3 linked regions of the Sus scrofa genome follow. The protein of the gene in region 2 interacts with the protein of the main gene of each other region in a pairwise test. Links are inferred from orthologs where the notes say so. Each region holds a gene or a part of one and is shown on either strand. Other genes may lie near its edges.

Region 1 (6,477 bases), on a different chromosome or scaffold from region 2:
TGTGGCCACCGGCCTATGCCAGAGCCACAGCAACGCAGGATCTGAGCTGCGTCTGCGACCTACACCACAGCTCACAGCAACGCCGGATCCTTAACCCACTGAGCGAGGCCAGGGATCGAACCCGTAACCTCATAGTTCCTAGTCAGATTCGTTAACCACTGAGCCACAACAGGAACTCCCCCACTATATTTTACATAGTGGCTCAGGGCTTCAAGAGCAAGTGTTTCCAAAGACCTGGGTGGACTCCTCAAGACTCCATATGATTTAGGCCTGGAAGTCCCATAATACCACACATTCCATTGGTCAAGCAATTCACTTAGGCCAGCCTGGATTAAAAGTGATAAAGAATTTACAGGGAGTTCCCATTGTGGCTCAGCGGGTTAAGAGCCCAACATAGTGTCTGTGAGGATGCAAGTTCATCCCTGGCTTTGCTAGGTGGGTCGGGGATCCAGCATTGCTGTGAGCTGTGGTGTAGGATGCAGATGCTGCTCAGATCCTGCCTTGCTATACGGCTGTGGCATAGGCTGGCAGCTGCAGCTCCGATTCGACTCTTAGCCTGGGAACTTCCATATGCTGTAGCTGTGGCCCTCAAAAAAAAAAAAAAAAAAAAAAAAAAAAAGTGACATGCTCTGTGTTCTTAAATGCCTCCAAGGGCCCTAGCAATAGACTCAAAAATGGCCTGGAGCATTTAGGATGAAGCCTGAGAGCAGTGCAGTGAAATCGTGGGGACAGGAGCCACACAGCTATGGGTTGGGGATTGAGAGGGTGCTGAGTTGGCAGAGATTTGTGAATAAAAAGGCAGGAGTAGTAACCAGAGCATGATCTAGAGTGACAGAGGTGTCCTCCTTTTTCTTTAGAGCAGGAAAAGCTCAAACATGAATAGATGGTGACAGCAAAGGACAAGTAGGTAAAAGAAGTCGGCAATTTGGGGAATGAGAGTGAGGACTGAAATGCTTGAAAGAAGTTTTCTGAGAATGTGAGAGGTGCAGAAATACAGAACTGAGGTGGCGAGATGCTAATATGAATATATTAAAAGTGGTTAATTCCCAGAATGGCTAAACCACATACTGAAATTACTGTGGTTTCAATCAATAGGGCAAACAGAGCAAGCCACATTTACATGTTTATTTTACATTATTTACACATCTTTCCTCCAAAGGGCAGGATCGATGTTTCACCTTTTCAATGCCTTCCACACAATTGGTGCTCCGTAAGTAGTGAGTAAACAAGAGCTCCCTTACCTGTATTCTGTGTTTCTTAACACATTCAAAACATAGCTAAGACCCTGCACACAAGTGAAAAATTCTTCTATGTATGCAAAACAGTCACAAAATTTATGTGTGATAGACGATGCCAACTTTTTTTGAGGAACCTGTTTACTCGAATTTAACAAACTTGGTTTCCAGCATCTCCTTCACCATAGAGGTTTAAAAATAGGAGATGAGAGGAGGAAGAGGATGCTGTAAAGGCAGGCAGGCAGGCAGACAGCAGCAGGAGGTGGCACGATGTACCATAAGTTGCCAAAAAACAGTGAAAAACCAGACTCAAAACATACCGGCCTGGGCTCTCCTGGTTTAGAGATTCACATCCTTCACTAACATATCAAGAGTCTTTAAAGTGTTTGGAGCCTCAAAAAATGTTGAGAAAATGATCCTTTGAACTGTTAAAAGAAGCATTGCTGTTCCTCATTCGGCACCACCTTCTGTTTCTCACACAGTTTGGACAGGATTTGATCAAAAATGGATATTAGGAGTTCCCGTCGTGGCGCAGTGGTTAACGAATCCGACTAGGAACCATGAGGTTTCGGGTTCGGTCCCTGCCCTGGCTCAGGGGGTTAACGATCCGGCGTTGCCGTGAGCTGTGGTGTAGGTTGCAGACGCGGCTCGGATCCCGCGTTGCTGTGGCTCTGGCGTAGGCCGGTGGCTACAGCTCCGATTAGACGCCTAGCCTGGGAACCTCCACATGCCGCGGGAGCGGCCCAAAGAAATAGCAAAAAGACAAAAAAAAAAAAAAAAAAAAAAAAAAAGGATATTAAAGCAAAAAAGCTGATGCTGAGATGGTAACCTTTATTTACTCTCCGTTCCTTTGTCCAAGCTGTTTACCTAGCTTTTAATGTCCCCTCCCCCTTTTTTCCTCCTAGTACGTCCTTTTCTTCCCTGCATGGTGAACACAAATGCCACCTCTTCCAAGAACCCCCGAGCATTGTCCAAGCGGAAGTAATCTCTTCCTCTGTTCTCCCACAACATCTCACTGTGGCTTGGCTTTGCACGGGTCACCAGACCTGGTTGTTTACATGGCTGCTTTTCCACTAAGTTATGCGCTTCTTGTGATCGGGGACCGTGACGATGACGATGTAACCACACAGCACCTGGTACAGCGCTACAGCGCTAGGCACGGAGTCGGTGCTCAGTAACTGCTCGCTGGGTTGAATCAATCTGGAAAAATCACTCGGGGCAGGGTCTCGTGCTCCAGGCACGGATGAATGATTCGGGGTGGAGGTGGTTCTTTGCATTTTTTACCTCGTAGTTACGTCGGGGCGAGCATCCAGGTGGCGGGGCCCATACCTACGGAGTAGAAATGCACCTCCGCGGCCCGCTGCAGACACCCGGGCGAAGTCGGTAGGGGGCAAGTTTCCTCCGCCCTCCCGGAACCCGGCCGTAGGGGGCGGGGCTCGAGGGGAATGAGGCCCGCTGGCCCGCCCCCTCCTCCGCGCGGCGGAAGCCCCGCCCCCAGCCGCGCGTTCGCGCAGGCGGCTCGTGCCCGCCCCCAGCCCTGCGCCCTCGCGCCCTCGCGCCCTCGCGCCGGGGGCGGGCTCGCTGCGCGTGCCGGGCGGGGAAGCGGCGCGAGCCGGGCGCCTGAGAACGTTCGCCGCGGGGGCGGCTCCGGGGCCTGAGCGGACGCCGCCGCCGCCTGAGCCGCGGGGGCCGGGCCGGAGGAGACGGAGGAGGCTGCGGCCCCCGAAGACCTTCTCGACGCCCCCAGCTCCGGCCGAGAAGTAAGTACGGTGGGGGTTGGCGGCGGCGGCGGCCGCTGGCTGCGGGAGAGGAGCGCGGTGCTGGAGCCTCGCGCTCGCGAGGGACGAGAAGGAGCCCGCGCAGCGCCCGCACCTGGGGAGCCTGCGGGGGTGCAGGGCCGGGAGCGGCGGAGACTGAGCCTGGGAGCCGGGGCCGCAGCACCGCGCGCGCTGTGAGAGGAGACGGCGCCGCGCGAGCGGTCTCCGCCGCTCCTGGCCCCCGCCGCTCCCGGCCCTGGAGGGGCGATCCGAGGGGATGGAGCGCAGCCCCCGGCTGGCGTCGCCGAGCTGTGATCCCCGGGGCCGGGGAGGGGACTCCCGGGTCCCGAGCTTGCTGTGGCCACCGGGCGCGGAGCTGGGGTGCGGGCGCTGGACTGATGCTGCCGGAGGCCGGCTGGCTGGGAGGAGGCTCTGCGTTAGGTGTTGAAGGGGGCGAAGGAGGCAGGTCCTGGCAGAGGGCAGGTGAGGCAGGCAGGCCCTGGCAGAGGGAAGGGAATTTATTTCACATCGCCCTAAAGCACTATTTCCCGAGGCGCCTAACAGTGAACCTGTCCCCCGAGGTCACCCTTTAAAGGAAAGTGCCCTGAGAGGAGGGAGGATGCAGCTATGGAATGCTTGCTGTTAAATTCCTGTGCCAGGCCTTGGGATTAGGAAGACCTTCCAGCCTTCTCAGCAAATGTTTATTGATTAGCTCTTTTCGGTCGAGAACCGTGATCCACAAAATTGTGTAAAACACAGCCATCGTTTGCTGTTTGGGTGCGGACAATCCGATTGTGAAGGTATGCGTATAAAATACAAAGCAGATTTGAGTTTTACCTCATACCGTATTCATTTTAGGTCTCTTTTTTCACAGTATTGGGAGGTTCGAGTCATAAAACTGCTTGGTTTGGGGATTCAAGTAGGAGGGTCCGAGAAGCTTGTGGGAAGAATTTGGGAGTTTTTGAAGGTGCTTTTAACATTTAAAGGGGGAGAAGGGAAAAGAGAATTGGAAATAGGTAAGAGAAGGGAAAAGGGAATTGGAAATAGATAAGAAGTTCCCTTCCTTCCTAAGTAGAATGAAACTCCATGACTGTTAACTGAATCCTCAGTGACAGGAACAGAGCCTGAGCCCCAGCAGGCACTAAATGCCTGCCTCTTGCAAAAATGAATGAACCCAGCAAGGTTTTGCTCTATTTTACACGGAACCCTGTTGATCAATTTGGTGGTAGGGATAGCTGATGAACTTTACTTGTTCTTCAGGCTCGATCTCTCCTTTTTTTTTGGCCGAGTAACCCAGGTTCTTAGATCTTCGTGGCTATAGTGACGGAGGTGTGATTTTTTTTTTTTTGGCCTTGCTGCCACTTTCACGTCTTTATTGCATGTTGGCTGCCAGGAGCTTACTCTTTGGGCCATTGCTTCAAGTCATCCCATTTCTGGCCCTCCTCTTTTCCATCACTTGGGGAAGGAGAATACTTTTGTCTAGAGAACACTTTTTCATTTTTATTCGTGTTCTTGGATCTTAGGTCTATAGTGAGAGGATATATCTCTGTTTTTTGAGGGCTGAGATTCTGCCTTTTCTCTGCCTTGGTTGGATTTCGGGACTCAGGCTCCAGGCTGCTGTTTCAATTGCCTGTGCTGCAGTGCCTGTTAGGTTACTTTGACTGCCAAATTAAAACTTGACCTTTTATGAGTTCTCTGAGGATTTTTATCACACATAAATGGAATTACCTTTGAAGGGGGTAATGTAGTCAAGGCAGTGCTGGCAGGGTTTTGAGTGTCCACTCTGTGTGAGAAACAAAATTTCTACTTAGAAAATCAGACTTAAAGTCAATAGAATGCCAGGTAACCATTTATTTTATGTCTTTAATATAAAATATCTCAGGACCTATGTTACCTCATGAAAATAAAGTATTAATTCAAATTTGGCATTCTGTAGTAAGCCTTGAAGAACTAAGTTAGTTTCAGGGCTGTGTACTTAAGAGTACAACCAGCAGGTGTCTACTGGTTCTTATTTATTTATTTATTTATTTTTAATTTAGGGCCGTGTCTACTAATATGGTGGTTTCCAGGCTAGGGGTCAAATCAGTTTCTGCTGCCAGCCTATACCACAGCCACAGCAACACCAGATCAAGCCACAATGGGAACTCCTACAGTTCTTGTTTTGGGATACCTAGGTCCTGTAATTTTGGATGCCTTGTTTCAGGTTTTCTCAATGATACTGTATTTTATTTATTTATTTATTTAATTTATATTTCTTTCTAAATCGCCTTTATTGATGTATGGTTTTCATATAATAAACTGGATAGCTGTTCCATGCAGAATTGGACGAGTTTGAAAAAAAAAATATATGTATATACAGATCTTCCTTCTTATTTATTTCTTCTTTTTTTTTTGGCCTATGCCGCAGCCACAGTGTTGTGGGATCCCAGCCACATCTGCGACCTACACCACAGCTCACAGCTGTGGCTGATCCTTAACCCACTGAGTGAGGCCAGAGATTGAACCCTCATCCTCATGGATCCTAGTCGGCTTTGTTAACCACTGAGCCCTGAAGGGAACTCCCCTCTTATTTATTTCTAATTATGCAAACATGAGGGCTGTGGCATCTAGTTGTGCAGGATGTATACTGCTAACTGTAGGGGTGCCATTCACATCCGGGTCCCTGAGCCTGGTCCCTCCTGGGGTTATATGGTGCAGCCTGTGGCTGTGTACTGCAGCCCTGCAAGTGGCTCGTGAATGCACGCTCTCTTAGAAAATGCTCGAACAGTACAGACAGACTAAAGGCCCCCTTGACCCACTCCCTTCTCCACCAAAACTGCGATTACCAGTTTGTTGTGATCCTGTCAGACCCTTCTCTCTAGGTTTTCATCTGTATGTAGGTAACGCAGACAAAAGTAGGATTTCCTGCCAGGCCCCCATTAATGACATGATACTGTACACCTTGGTCTGCAGCTTTTCTCTGACAGAATGTCTAAGGTCTTTCCATGATGGAACATAAAGATCTACCTGATTCTTGACGACTGCCCAATCCCTTATGTAGTATGCACTGGACTGCGGTTTATTAATCCTCTCATTAAGGGTCATTAAAGCTGTTTGCCGTTTCACACGTTGCTGCAGCGAGTGAAAAGTACAGCTGCTAGGTCTAAGGGGTGCCCGATTGAAATTAGTCAGTGAAGACTTAACCATGTTGCCCTTTGTGGATCTGGTTCATTTATTTTTAAATGCTGAGTACTGTTCAGTTGTGGACTTCAATCACTCTTTATGTATCTTTCACTCACTGAGTATGACCAAAATGCGTAGGTAGTACAGGAAGTTCCTATAACCCCTCTTCTTCATAGAGACTCTCCCACTGTTAACATCTTACATTAGTGCAGTACATTTGTTATAACTGATGAAGATATAGTGACACTTTTTTTTTTGGCTTTTTAGGGCCCACCTTCAGCACATGGAGGTTCCCAGGCTAGGGGATGAATCAGAGCTGCAGC
Region 2 (6,377 bases):
ACATGGCCACTAGAATCCTCAAGAAGACTAAACACCACATAGGCACAATTAATCTTCCCAGGGGAAAGGATGGAATATTACTTTGTGTCTTTATCCCCAACCCATTCTGAGGGGATGATCTCATACATCAATGGGCCTTTTAAGAGCCAGAAGAGTGGAGACATAAAGAGCATAAAAAAGAATGACCTCATCCAGTGGACCTAAAACGAACTACTGTGAGAGAGCCTGTATCTACATGCTTTGTGATATGAATTATTTAAACAAAGTTCATTGATCTACTAGGATAATTTTGTTTAATGCCTTGTACTTTTCATTCATCAATTAAGTTTAAGAAATAAAGTATAAAAACACTGCTTCTAAATGAAGTCAGAAATATGTTAAAAGCTTTATCCCACATTAAGAGCCGGATGTAGGGGACAACCGACTGGCTAACTCTGGGACAATTCAAGTATCAAAATACCTAAATGAATATCTTAGAGTATTTAGTAATAAATTATAAACTATTGGGAAAAAATTCTTTTGCCGATACCAATAGTAAATAAATAACAAACAAATACATAAATGGAGGGAGGAAGAGGGCTCTTGCTTAGACTGGAATACCGAGGGCTGACTGGTAAATGCTGAGGGAGTGAGAGAGTTGGAAAATCATCATTTTGCAAAATGATGGTAAAGATTAGATCAGGCAAAAGTCATCAATGAATGCTAAATCTAGGGCAAAATTTTGATGTGGAACAGACTATTTTCGTGTTCTTAAAGTGGTCTTTCCACAGATTGATTGTTAGTTATAAGGGAGAATAAAAAACTTTATTAAGTGAGCAACATTAACATTACACAAAAGGATATCGTGTGCCTGCATACATGATACCCTGAGCAGGACCAACACCATCTATGTGGTATTCTGACCAAGAATGCATAACCTCAATCTAATCAGGAGGAAACATCCAAAATCAAAATGAGGAATGTTCTGTTAAAAGTAAACAAAAAGGAGGGGCAGGAAGAGGGACAGACTGTATTCTTAAAATATATCAATGTGACAACCAAAGGCTGTGGAAATAGTCCAGATTAAAGGAATCTAGAGATTTGACTACTAAATGCAGAAGCTGACCCCCTGGACTGGAATCTGAACTGAAGGGGGAAAATGTTACAGAGGAATGATGTTAGGTCAACCAACAAAATTGGAATATGGATGGTAGGTCAGATAAAAGTATAGTGTTTAGTAAGGTTGTTAACTAAACTGTGGTTATGTGAGAGAATATGTCTGTTCTTAGGAAATCCACACTGAAATATTTAAGGGTATAGGACTATGATGTATGTGTGTGTGTGTGTGTGTGTGTGTGAGGGGAGAGAGAATGCACGAGTGTGCCCAAGCTTTCCCGGGAGAGTATGAGCATGTGCAAATAGAGAAAAAGTGTTAATACTAGATTAATCTGGGTAAAGGGTATTTGGGTGTACTCTGTTCTATTCTACGTTTGTAACTTCTTGCATATTTGAAAAATTACATTGAAAGAAAAAATTAAAAACAAAGACAAACACAAAAACCCTTGCCCTACTTAACTACTGTTAATTATCCCCGTGGGCTGTCACTGGAGATGACTTCTGCTTTTTTCTCTACATACTTCTGTACTGCCTGAAAATATTTTAAACAATGAGCAGGTACTAATTTTGAAATAAAAAAATTAAAGAGAAAAGCGTAGCCTAGTATGTACAGCTCATGATCCCTTTATACATTAGCACTAAAACAATGGATGATACACGCTGTTTTCTATTAGCTTGCTACCACAAGCACAGAGCTCCAAATTGCAACTCAATCTGATCTCTTTGAAATTTTTTGAATTCAGTTAATTCCCAAGAGTATTTTCCAATTTGGTTTTAGTCTGTTTGGAGTCCTTTTTAAAGAATGTAAGGCATAAAAGAAATATAGATATATTTCAGATGCTGAGAATACTGGGACCTTTTAACCCAAAACTATTCCCACAGTCATTACCATCACACCACTTCTGTGGCATTTCAATGAGTTCGTGGTTATCTTGTCTTTAATTCCACTCAAATCTCTCCAACAAATGGATTTGTTTCAGTTTGGCAATAGGGTTAGTTTCTGTCTTGGAGGAGAAAGAATTCAAATAGTTTTTGCTTTATTTTCCATAGTAGGTTAAATCTGCCAGAACTCCAGTTAAAAAAGTTTATATTAAAGCAGTAAAATCTTTTTCTTAAAAATTTCATGTGAACAAAATTTTATCAAAGGACCTTTTCTCATTTATCTCATGACTTTATTCATTTAACTCCATAGAATAAAATTATGTTGACAGATTTCTTATTGGTGAACTACTTTTTACAAAAATCTTTTATGAATTTTTAGGACATAAAGCAAATAAATGTGGAGTTGCTTTGGTTGAGGGGGGTCCTAGAGTCCCTCCTGCTCACACCCCTGCAGCAGACTCGGAAAGAGTGTAAAAACCACAGAGCTGGAGAAAAGAGCTGTGAAGGACCCTGCTATTCTGTTCTCCTAGGCACCATGACAAAAGTGAAGAATCAACAGGCAATTTTCTTTGCTTTTCTGATATAAGGTATTTTTGAGATTTAATCAAAACCAAGCAAAGGATCAGGAATAGGAACAATTACCTGTTTTTCCTCAGGAGGAAGTTTACTCCATTCATTGCCTAACATCCTTGTAATTTCTGGAAATGGGACTTCTGGTCTTTTTGCTCGAAGCTGTTCTCGACGCTCGTTCATGAACCGGACATATCCTGTGAGGGGGGATTTGGGTGCATTGCTGTCTCGAAGAGGTTTCTTCCTTTTTCTTCCTTTGGACCAACCTCCTCGTTTACTTCTTTGCTACAAAGGCGAAATAAAAACCCTAGATCAAATTACAATAGCAAAAATTTCCCGAAATAACAACAATCAACACCAAAAAACAAAACAGGATTAAGAATTGCATTTTCCCACCATTAAGGCCCTGGATATTTTCAAGCTTTCCAAATCTGTTATAGGTACAAATGACTGCAATGCAGTTTTCAAGAAGGGACTCCAGAGGGTTCACTTGCAGACCTTTTTATGTGCTATGTTACAAACTGTTACACTCAGGGGCTATTTTAGGGCTAACCCCAACAGATAAGAATAAGAGGTACCATGCTCAAAAAGCCTTGGCCTTCATATGAACTTAACAAGTCCTGACTCCTGGCTGGGGAATGTTCTAAATGAGAATGCAGCACATACAGAACTCTGTGCCAGAGAAGCAGACATTGCTACAGTAGATCAGAACAAGATGCTGTACCATGCACTGGGCAAAAGAACAGGCAAATGTAGCACAGGAACTAACATCATTGATGAAGGGTCTTTCTCACTGATACCACTCAAAGATCAGTTTATTTCCCACAGCAGAGAGCAATACAGATTTTAAAATTAATTTCTAAGACTTAGAAAAATTTCAGCAACTATAATATATCCAAAATGAAGACTACTTCTTTGGCTTGATGAGTTATATCTTAAGATGTTATTTATTTATTTATTTATTTGTCTTTTTGCCATTTCCTTGGGCCGCTCCCGCAGTATATGGAGGTTCCTAGGCTTGGATGGAACCTGCAACCTCATGGTTCCTAGTTGGATTTGTTAACCACTGAGCCACGACGGGAACTCCAAGACGTTAATTTTTAAAGGCAGAGGTCTTAATGTTACTAGTTATAGCAAAAAAGATGAAATCACCCCCAGAATTCCCGTCGTGGCTCAGGGGTTAATGAACCTGACTAGCATCCATGAGGACACGGGTTCAATCTCTGGCCTTGCTCAGTGGGTTAAGGACCCAGTGTTGCCATGAGCTGTAGTGAGGTCGAAGATGCGGCTAAGATCCCGCGTTGCTGTGGCTCTGGCTTAGGCCGGCAGCTACAGCTTAGATTGGACTCCTAGCCTGGGAACCTCCATATGCCATGGGTGCGGCCCTAAAAAGACAGAAAAAAAGAAGAAAAAAAAAAAAGATGAAATCATCCCCCCAAAAATTTCAAAAGAGGACTGAAGTATTTTTTCTTTGTCCTTTTAAACAAGATGCAAGGGGAGTTCCCGTCGTGGCTCAGTGGTTAATGAATCCGACTAGGAACCATGAGGTTGCGGGTTCAATCCCTGGCCTTGCTCAGTGGGTTAAGGACCCAGCGTTGCTGTGAGCTGTGGTGTAGATTGCAGACACGGCTCGGATCCCGCGTTGCTGTGGCTCTGGCATAGGCCGGTGGCTACAGCTCTGATTAGACCCTTAGCCTGGGAACCTCCATGTGTCGCCGGTGCAGCCCTAAATAGACAAAAAAAATAAAAAAATAAAAATAAATGATAAACAAGATGCAAGGTACTTTTGCGCAAATTTTACAAATTCACATAGCCTATCAATTAATAATTTTAAAGTTTTATAGATATAAGCATTCTTATTTCAGAGAAGAAAAAGATAAGCAAAATGGGACAAAAATATCTAAATACTACTTACCATACTGTACTCCTCCATATTTAAAATGGTACAATAGTTCAGCATGGGGCAAATGATATATTTTGTATCAGATTTTTTTCCTTCCTGTTTTGTTTTGCAAACCTAGTAACATTTAACAGTAAAGCTACTAAGGACTTAAGATGTTTAAGAAGCTTTAAGCATTCATCAAAAATTTTAAGAATGCCAGCATGAGAAGAATCAGCTCTTTCAAAAATAAGAATAAAGACAAAAATCAATGGTGGTACTCTTTCATGGCTTAAAAAAAAAACCCAAAAAACCTTAAAACATAGACTAGGCAATCAGTCATTTCTGAGGAACAATGAAAGTCCAACAAGGGCATGACTGCCCAGGCCCATATAGAACCTCTGTGTGAATTAAAGAAAGATGCCCCCAATGGGAGGGTGAATGACAATCCTTTGGCCACATATGACTGCATGCTGCAGGGTTTTGTGAGAAGTGTGTGGTCTTGAATAACAGCACCTGGACTCCTCATTAATTACTTATTCAATTAAATCATTCAACTCAGTAAGTACTTGTTGAGCAACTAATCTGATGCAGGTATAAATTTTTTAGGCAGGGGAAAAAAGAGTCTACCTTTCTCTGTATCATATTAAAACCATTAATATGTAGTCTGTGTAAAACAAGAAACAGAAAACAGAAAATTCTGCAGAATGTAAGGAGGCCAGGGGATGAACACCTGGATCAACTGCCTTGCTGACTGCCTCTTCAGAAGCCTCAGAGACCACTAACAGGAGCAGATGCTTCAGCTTACCTCATCTTCGTGCCTTTGTTCATTGCCTTCTGCTGTATTTGAAGACTCATTCTGAAGCAACTGACCTTGGGAGAGATCCTCTACAAATTCTGGATTGTTAGTGGATGATGTGGCTCCACTACCATATGGAACTTCTGGATGGGTTAACCTGAAGAATGGTAGGCAGAAGTGGAAAAGTTCAGTCTCAACAGTCTCAAAACCTCCTCATTAACCAAGGGGCAAGATAAATTTCAGGGACCGCAAAATTACACGCCAGCTCTTGAATTAATTTTCCCACCTCATGCTGTGTAAATGTAAACAATAGCTCCATAGCGATTACAGAGCATTTTAAAACAAGGTTTCAGTGCTTGGTTGAACCAGGTCAGTTCCATGAAGTCTCCTTAGAAACAACTATAATCTTTCCCCCACAAATTACCTCTCCCCTCAATGCAGACTTCACATTTTAGTTTTGAGCATGCAGCTAACTTTTATGTGCAGTTTTTCATATAAAAATATTTTATATGCTACTTATCTCTAATGCAATAAAAGGAAAAAAAAACTATTAGTGGAAAAAGAATAGGAATGGGAGTTGTAGAGATCATTTGCTTACGCTTATCACAAAGAGTTCTTTAAGGGCATAAGAAATATTTCTTATGGTACGTTCCAGAGGCTACTCCTTCTTGGATTCTAGTGTTTAAGTTCGGTAAATTCAGGTATAAATGTTAATAAATCAGAGATACAGATTTTCTATTCCTACCATTCTGTTCTAGATGAGTCAGCAAACCAGATCTCATCCTTCTGAAAGGTGGAATCAAGACAGTACAGATGATGGCTGGATCTTAGACTGACCTTCCCTAATCACATGAAGATAAAGGAATGGATATAAAGGTAATACCCTGTGCTAGAGTTTGGGTTTTTTTGCTAGGTACTGGGAAAGTGGGGGAAAATGTACAAGAGAGCAATTAGTTATTATTCTGGAAGAATGTATACTCCATAGGGTTATAAAAAATAATTGCAATGCAATATAAGTACTGAAACAGAAGTCTGTAAAATGCACCATACAAGTACTGTAGAGGGGATGATGAATTTTATATGTATGGAGAGAATGTTAAGAAAGACTTCAAAAAAAAAAAAAAAAAAAAAAAAAAGGAGTTCCCATTATGG
Region 3 (6,477 bases), on a different chromosome or scaffold from region 2:
ATTCTTTTTCCCACATTATCATGCTCCATCATAAGTGACTAGATATAGTTCCCAGTGCTACACAGCAGGATTTCATTGCTTACCCATTCCAAAGGCAATAGTTTGCATCTATGAACCCCAGACTCCCAGTCCATCCCATTCCCGCCCCCCTCCCTTGGAACCACACGTCTCTTCTCCAAGTCCATGAGTTTCTTCTCTGTGGAAAGGTTCATTTGTGCCATATATTAGATTCCAGATCTAAGTCATCTCATCTGGTAATTGTCTTTCTCTTTCTGACTTACTTCACTTAGTAGGAGAGTCTCTAGGTCCATCCATGTTGCTGCAAATGGCATTATTTTGTTCGTTAGTCCTTGGGGTCTTAAGTCGAGTCTGGGAGCCCTGGGGTGCGGGTGCTGCTGGGGGTGGGAGGCGCTTTGGACATTGGAAACTGACAACCAAGTTATGTAGTGATTTGCTGGTTTCCGCTTAGGAGGATCTGCCTCAAGTCAAGTCGAGACAGTAAACCCTGACAGTGTAAAAGCAGGGTTTCAGGAAAAAAATGAAAATAAAAAATAAATAAAAGCAGTGGTTCAGCATGACAGAAGCAGGGATGAAGGAAGGGGGTGGGGGATTCATAGCTTGATCTTTTAGAGAGAAGCAAGAGATTCCTCTCAAGCTGCTTGGCCAAGAAACAGAGGATTCCTGTGTATTTATTTTTTGAATAGTAAAAACATATACAAGAGTTCCTGTTGTGGCTCAGCGGTAATGAATCTGACTAGTATCCATGAGGATGCAGGTTCAATTCCTGGCCTCACTCAGTGGGTTAAGGATCCGGCATTGCCAGGAGCTGTAGTGTAGGTCGCAGATGCAGCTCAGACCTAGCATTGCTGTGGCTGTGGTGTAGGCTGGCAGCTGTAGCTCCGATTGGACCCCTAGCCTGGGAACTTCCATATGCCGAGGATGCGGCCCTAAAAGCCACCCCCCCCAAAAAAGGCAAAAAGACAAAACGGAGGGAGTCCTCACTGTGGCTTATCGGGTTAAGAACCGACAGAGCGTCTGTGAGGATGTGGGTTTGATCCCTGGCATCGATAGTGGGTTAAGGATCCCGAGTTGCTGTGAGCTGTGGTCGCTGATGCTTCTTGGACCCTGGCTGTGGCGTAGCCCTCAGCTGAAGCTCTGATTCATCCCGTAGCCCGGGTCCTTATGCCACAGGCATGGCCATAAAAAAAGAAAAATAAATAAAGTGAGATGGCAAAGAGAAAGCTGTATTAATGCCTAGTAGGAGTTACTCCAGGGTCAGTCTTTTTTTTTTTTTTTTTTTTTTTTTGCTACACCCGTGGCGTGTGGAAATTCCCAGTCCAGCGATCAAACCTGAGCCACAGCAGCGACCTGAGCCTCTATCTACAGTGACACCACCAGATCCTTAAGCCTGCAGGGGCCTGAGATTTTACCATGAACACCGAAGACACTGTGGACTCTTGGTGCTGATTCTAGATCCACTCCCCACCCCCACCCCCAACCAGAGGGTCTCTCAAACAAAATCAAGAAGGGGCTCCTTCAAAGTTTTTGGATGCCTGTTCTAAGGATGAAGTCAGAATATGGTGCCTGAGGAGTTCCCGTCATGGCACAGTGGAAACGAATTCAACTAGGAACCATGAGGTTGCGGGTTTGATCCCCGGCCTCACTCATTGGGTTAAGGATCCAGTGTTGCTTTGAGCAGTGGTGTAGGTTGCAGACGCGGCTTGGATCTGGTATTGCTGTGGCTCTGGTGTAGGCTGGAGGCTACAGCTCCGATTCGACCCCTAGCCTGGGAACCTCCATATGCCATGGGAGCGGCCCTAAAAAGACCAAAAAAAAGAAAAAGAAAAAAGAGAATATGGTGCCCGAAAGAGAAAAGCACGGCTCAGAACAGGGGGTGTGGGGTGCAGTCAGCGTGACAGTATCGCCTGGAGCTGACGAGGGCGGTGAGAGTAAGGATTCCATCCTTAAGTCTTGTACAATCCCCAGTGGGCCTCATTCTCTCGATTTCAAGTGGCCATTTTTCCACATCTCCACCTTCTGGAAGTAGGGTATTCCTTCCAGTGTGAGGTCGGCTGGCCCTGACTCCCTGGAGCATCCCCGCCTCCCTAGGGGTACACTGCACCGCCACCGCCCCGAAGGCATCCCAGCCACGCTGAGACGTCTCATCACCATGATGGCCAGAGTCCGGCCTGTCCAGCCCTGGGTGCGAGACAGGCAGGGGACGTTCCTCCGGCCCACTCAGCGGCTGCCGGCAGTGGGGCGCCCTCCCCGGCCCCGAAGTCCCCAGCTGGGCCCCCTGTCTTGCAGGTGTCGCCACCGCCGGCCGTCATGGGCAAGCAGAACAGCAAGCTGCGGCCCGAGGTGCTGCAGGACCTGCGCGAGAACACCGAGTTCACGGACCACGAGCTGCAGGAGTGGTACAAGGGCTTCCTCAAAGACTGCCCCACCGGCCACCTGACCGTGGACGAGTTCAAGAAGATCTACGCCAACTTCTTCCCCTACGGCGACGCCTCCAAGTTCGCCGAGCACGTCTTCCGCACCTTCGACACCAACGGCGACGGCACCATCGACTTCCGGGAGTTCATCATCGCGCTGAGCGTGACGTCGCGGGGCAAGCTGGAGCAGAAGCTCAAGTGGGCCTTCAGCATGTACGACCTGGACGGCAACGGCTACATCAGCCGCAGCGAGATGCTGGAGATCGTGCAGGTGCGTCTCCGAGGCCCCGCCCACCCAGGGCTCGGGGCCGCCACGCCCGTAGCCGTGGCCGTGGCCGTGGTGATGGTGGCAGAGCCCGGGTTTCCTCGGGCCCCTTGGACAGAGACGCACGGAGGTGGCCGGCGGGGCTGCTGAGCCCTCCCATGGCAGTGTCCCAGAGAGCAGGTGCTCGGTCCTTTCTGGGGCTAGTGAGATGGTTCTCCTTGCTGGGTCTCAGGGTCTGAGTCTTTTTTTTTTTTTTTTTTGGCTTTTAACGGAGGTGCAGCCATCCCGTAGTCAGGTGTTTGAGGCCCGGCGTGCCGCGTGATGGGCCGTGCCCGCGTCTGGCCGGGTCCTCCCCCTCCGCCGCAGTCCAGCCCGCAGAAAGCCCGAGAACTGCCCCGCCTCCCGCCCCCAGACAACCCCTGTCTTACAGCCATCACCTCGGGTCATTTCCTCTGTTCTTGAACTTCACGTAAATGAGTCCGGCTTCCTCTGGCTCGTGTGCTGTCTGCCATATCCTTCCTCGCTACTGGGAGGAGCGGGCAACTTTCCAGCTAGGGAGGGGTCCGCAGCCCCGACTGCTGTGGGCGAGGCCGAGGCGGCAGCTCGCGCCTGGGCCCCACCCGTCCAGGGACACCCCGGAATCGCTGAGCACGAGGTGTGTGTGCCCCTTTGCAGGCCATTTACAAAATGGTGTCGTCGGTGATGAAGATGCCGGAGGACGAGTCCACCCCTGAGAAACGCACGGACAAGATCTTCAGACAGATGGACACCAATAATGACGGTAAGACCCCGGCGTCAGTGCCTCGGAGCACAGATGCGTGTGGGAGCCTTCCCTCCTGCTCTGCAGCTTCTCGGGCCTCACCCAGCCATGCAGCTGCATTCAGGGAAGAGCCGGGGTTCGGAGTCCGGGTGCCTGGGTGAGCGTCCTGCCCCCCTGATCTGTAGTCTCCTTGCTTCTAGAACCGGGGGACGGTAGGCCCCGGCTGTCCAGGGAGAGGCGCAGGTGCAGTGTCACCGCGCCCTGCAGGGGTGGGGACCAAGCGTCCCATGTGGTGGGGCCCTGGGAACTGCATCCCTTTGCTCTCATTATCCTGACTGGAGGGCTCCCAGTGGCCCCAGGGACTCTGCGGGGAGGTGCTGGCTGGAGCAGCTGTGCGGGGCCTCTGGGCTCATGCCACGGCAGAGGTGGCGCTTCCAGGAGGGGCGGTGGCAGCCGCACAATGAGGACTCAGTGTGTTTCCTGCTCTGCACTGGCTGCGAGCTTCTGCGGGGCCCACAGGGGGAGCGTAGCTGTGAAACTCCACGGGTCTACGCCTCTTAAGCAGTGTTAAGTGCCGTCCCAGAGCCTGGTCCGATTTGCTTTTGATCAATAAAGAAATGCAGCATTTAGACAAGAAAAAAGAGAAAATACCCCCTGGGCTGTGCTGGAGATGGAAAATAAGCAAATGGACAGAAGCGTGCTCTCTAGACCCCGAAGTGAGGTGCGAGGAGGAGGCCGAGGGCTGCGCCCTCGGGGGAGGGGTGCAGCGGCGCGACCGCAGCTGGAGAGCCTCTTATGCAGAGGCAGGAAGTGGGCTCCCCAAGGCACAAGTTGCCACAATGCAGGGTCTGCTTCAAACTCGGTCCCTCCCACATCTGTATCCTGGGAGCATGTGTTTGGCGCCAGCGTCGGTGGCTCTGGAACTCACCTTTCTACGGCACCCGGTCCCAGGAGTAACAAGGTCCTCGATGCAGGAGGCACCGAGGACGAGGCAGGCACCAGCAGGCCCTTGGCAGGCCTCTGCCTAACCCTCCCACCCCGCAAAGCAGGTAGTGCAGGAGCAGGAAGGGGACTCAGCCGGAGCAGCGGGCCGAGCCTCCGCCAATGGATGGCCAAGCTGGACGGGCCGGAACCACACCCCGGGCAGTGGCTGGGAGGCTCTGGATTGGTTATGGGCTAGAGACAGAGGCCATGTTCTTTCCGGACAAGACACGTCGTTCTTAAATAAAGCGTGGAGAACTTTCTAGAAGGATTTAGCTTGCCCCACCAGCCACAGCGTGCAGCCATACTGGGGACAGCCTTTGAGGGGCCCCGTGCTGTGCCACGAACAGTGAAAGCCAAAAAGGGTTTTCCAGAAATGCTCTTTTTTTTCTTTTCTTTTTTTTTTTTTTTTAATGTTAGGGCCGTACCCACAGCATATGGAAGTTCCCAAGCTAGGGGTTGAATCAGAGCTGCAGCCACCGGCCTACGCCACAGCCACAGCAACAGCAGATCCAAGCCGCATCTGTGACTTACAGCTTGCAGTCACGCCAGATCCTTAACCCACAGAGCGAGGCCTGGGATCGAACCCGCATCCTCATGGATACTAGTCGGGTTCTCACGCTGAGCCTCAACAGGAACTCCCCAGAAATGCCGTTGAAACGAGTGGAGCCTGGACAGCATCCAGGACTCAAGGGCGCGTGGGGACAGTGACACAGGAATGGTGACAGCACACTAACTCCCATTTCTCCCCCAGGCAAACTGTCCCTGGAAGAATTCATTAAAGGTGCCAAGAGCGACCCGTCCATCGTCCGGTTGTTACAGTGTGACCCCAGCAGCGCCAGTCAGTTCTAAGGGCCCGGCATGTGGACAGTGCAGAGAAACACAAGCTTGTCTTGCCATTTAAGCTTTGCTTGCGACAGTGGATGCCTCCTCAGTCATTCCTGCTCTCCCAGGGCAGCCAGGCGCCGCGTGGCACCTGCCCGCCCGGCGGCCGCGCCTCCCCCCCTCCGCCCGGCCTCCTCCCGCCCCCTCCCGGGTCCCTCCTGGGCGACTCCCCGGGATGTGTTTACACGCAGGGCTCCCAGCATCCTTGCTTCTGGGCCACCTCCCGGCCTGCAGGGAGCCCAGAGGACGCGCCGAGGATACTGGCGGGACTTTTCTAAGATCGCGCCAAGGCCAGCCGACTTCTCTTGTGATCGCAGGTGACTCTGGGAAAGATGGAGACAAGAATGGAGGGAACATAGACGGGCAGCCCCCCCCACTCCCTCTCCTCCCCCCACCCCGTGCATGGCTCCACCCAGCTCGTTCGTTCCTCTCTGACCAAAGCCTCTTGCTCATATATATATATATATACCAAGGTCTTCTTTCTTTTAATATATAAGTTATACGTATGGTGAAGTGACGTGTAAAGTGTAAGTCCCGTATTTAATGCCTCAATTGCCTTTGAAGCGTGGTTCCCTCGTGGCCTGTGCCCCCTCCGAGCCTGGTTATTTTGTGGTATTTATGCCCTCAATCTACCCCTATCCAGAGGACCTGCATGCGTGCCCAGGGCCGCGGAGACCCGCCCGTCCGTGTCGTGAATGCAGGCATCTGTGTAAGGTTTGTCTTCTCTGTGGATTGGTCTGGCACTTCCTGTATTAAAATGATCAAATAAACCGACTGTCTGAGTTTTGTGTTGGCCTGGGAGGGGCCCCGTCCTGCCCCCCCGTGGCCCTGCCCGTGCAGGTGGCCTGGGTGGGTCTGGCTGCTGTTTGTAAACTTGGCCCCGGAGCCGTCACTGTGTCTATAAACCTTATGCGGCCTGGTCTTCATTATCCGCCTAATGCCAAGAAATATCCGTGGAAATAAAAGATGACTGTTCTGGGAAGGTTTGACTGTCACGCCTCTGCCCGTTCCCCGCCCTCCTCGCCTCAACCCCATGGTTTCATCGGCAAGGGAGCAGGACGGCTCAGGCCGGGAGAGGTCGGATCGGAGAGCGGGGACCTCACCTCCTGGGCTGTGAGGGCAGCCCTGGCTCCTCAGCCTGTCCCCGGATG

Evidence for each region.
Region 1: the proteins of HMG20A (region 2) and DTNB interact in binary tests that used the Homo sapiens proteins (3 or more experiments, as listed by UniProt). The two-hybrid records come from large-scale screens. The link is inferred for Sus scrofa from reciprocal best matches to the Homo sapiens genes HMG20A and DTNB.
Region 3: the proteins of HMG20A (region 2) and HPCAL1 interact in binary tests that used the Homo sapiens proteins (3 or more experiments, as listed by UniProt). The two-hybrid records come from large-scale screens. The link is inferred for Sus scrofa from reciprocal best matches to the Homo sapiens genes HMG20A and HPCAL1.

Annotation. Positions count from the first base shown.
Region 1 is NC_010445.4:113,226,365-113,232,841, forward strand, and holds the start of DTNB (dystrobrevin beta), read left to right. Parts: upstream 1-2,796; 5' UTR 2,797-2,995; intron 2,996-6,477.
Region 2 is NC_010449.5:57,547,773-57,554,149, reverse strand, and holds part of HMG20A (high mobility group protein 20A), read right to left. Parts: intron 5,383-6,377; coding exon 5,235-5,382; intron 2,833-5,234; coding exon 2,620-2,832; intron 1-2,619. UniProt on the Homo sapiens protein: Plays a role in neuronal differentiation as chromatin-associated protein. Acts as inhibitor of HMG20B. Overcomes the repressive effects of the neuronal silencer REST and induces the activation of neuronal-specific genes.
Region 3 is NC_010445.4:126,107,027-126,113,503, reverse strand, and holds HPCAL1 (hippocalcin-like protein 1), read left to right. Parts: upstream 1-2,328; coding exon 2,329-2,706; intron 2,707-3,375; coding exon 3,376-3,481; intron 3,482-5,195; coding exon 5,196-5,293; downstream 5,294-6,477. UniProt on the Homo sapiens protein: May be involved in the calcium-dependent regulation of rhodopsin phosphorylation.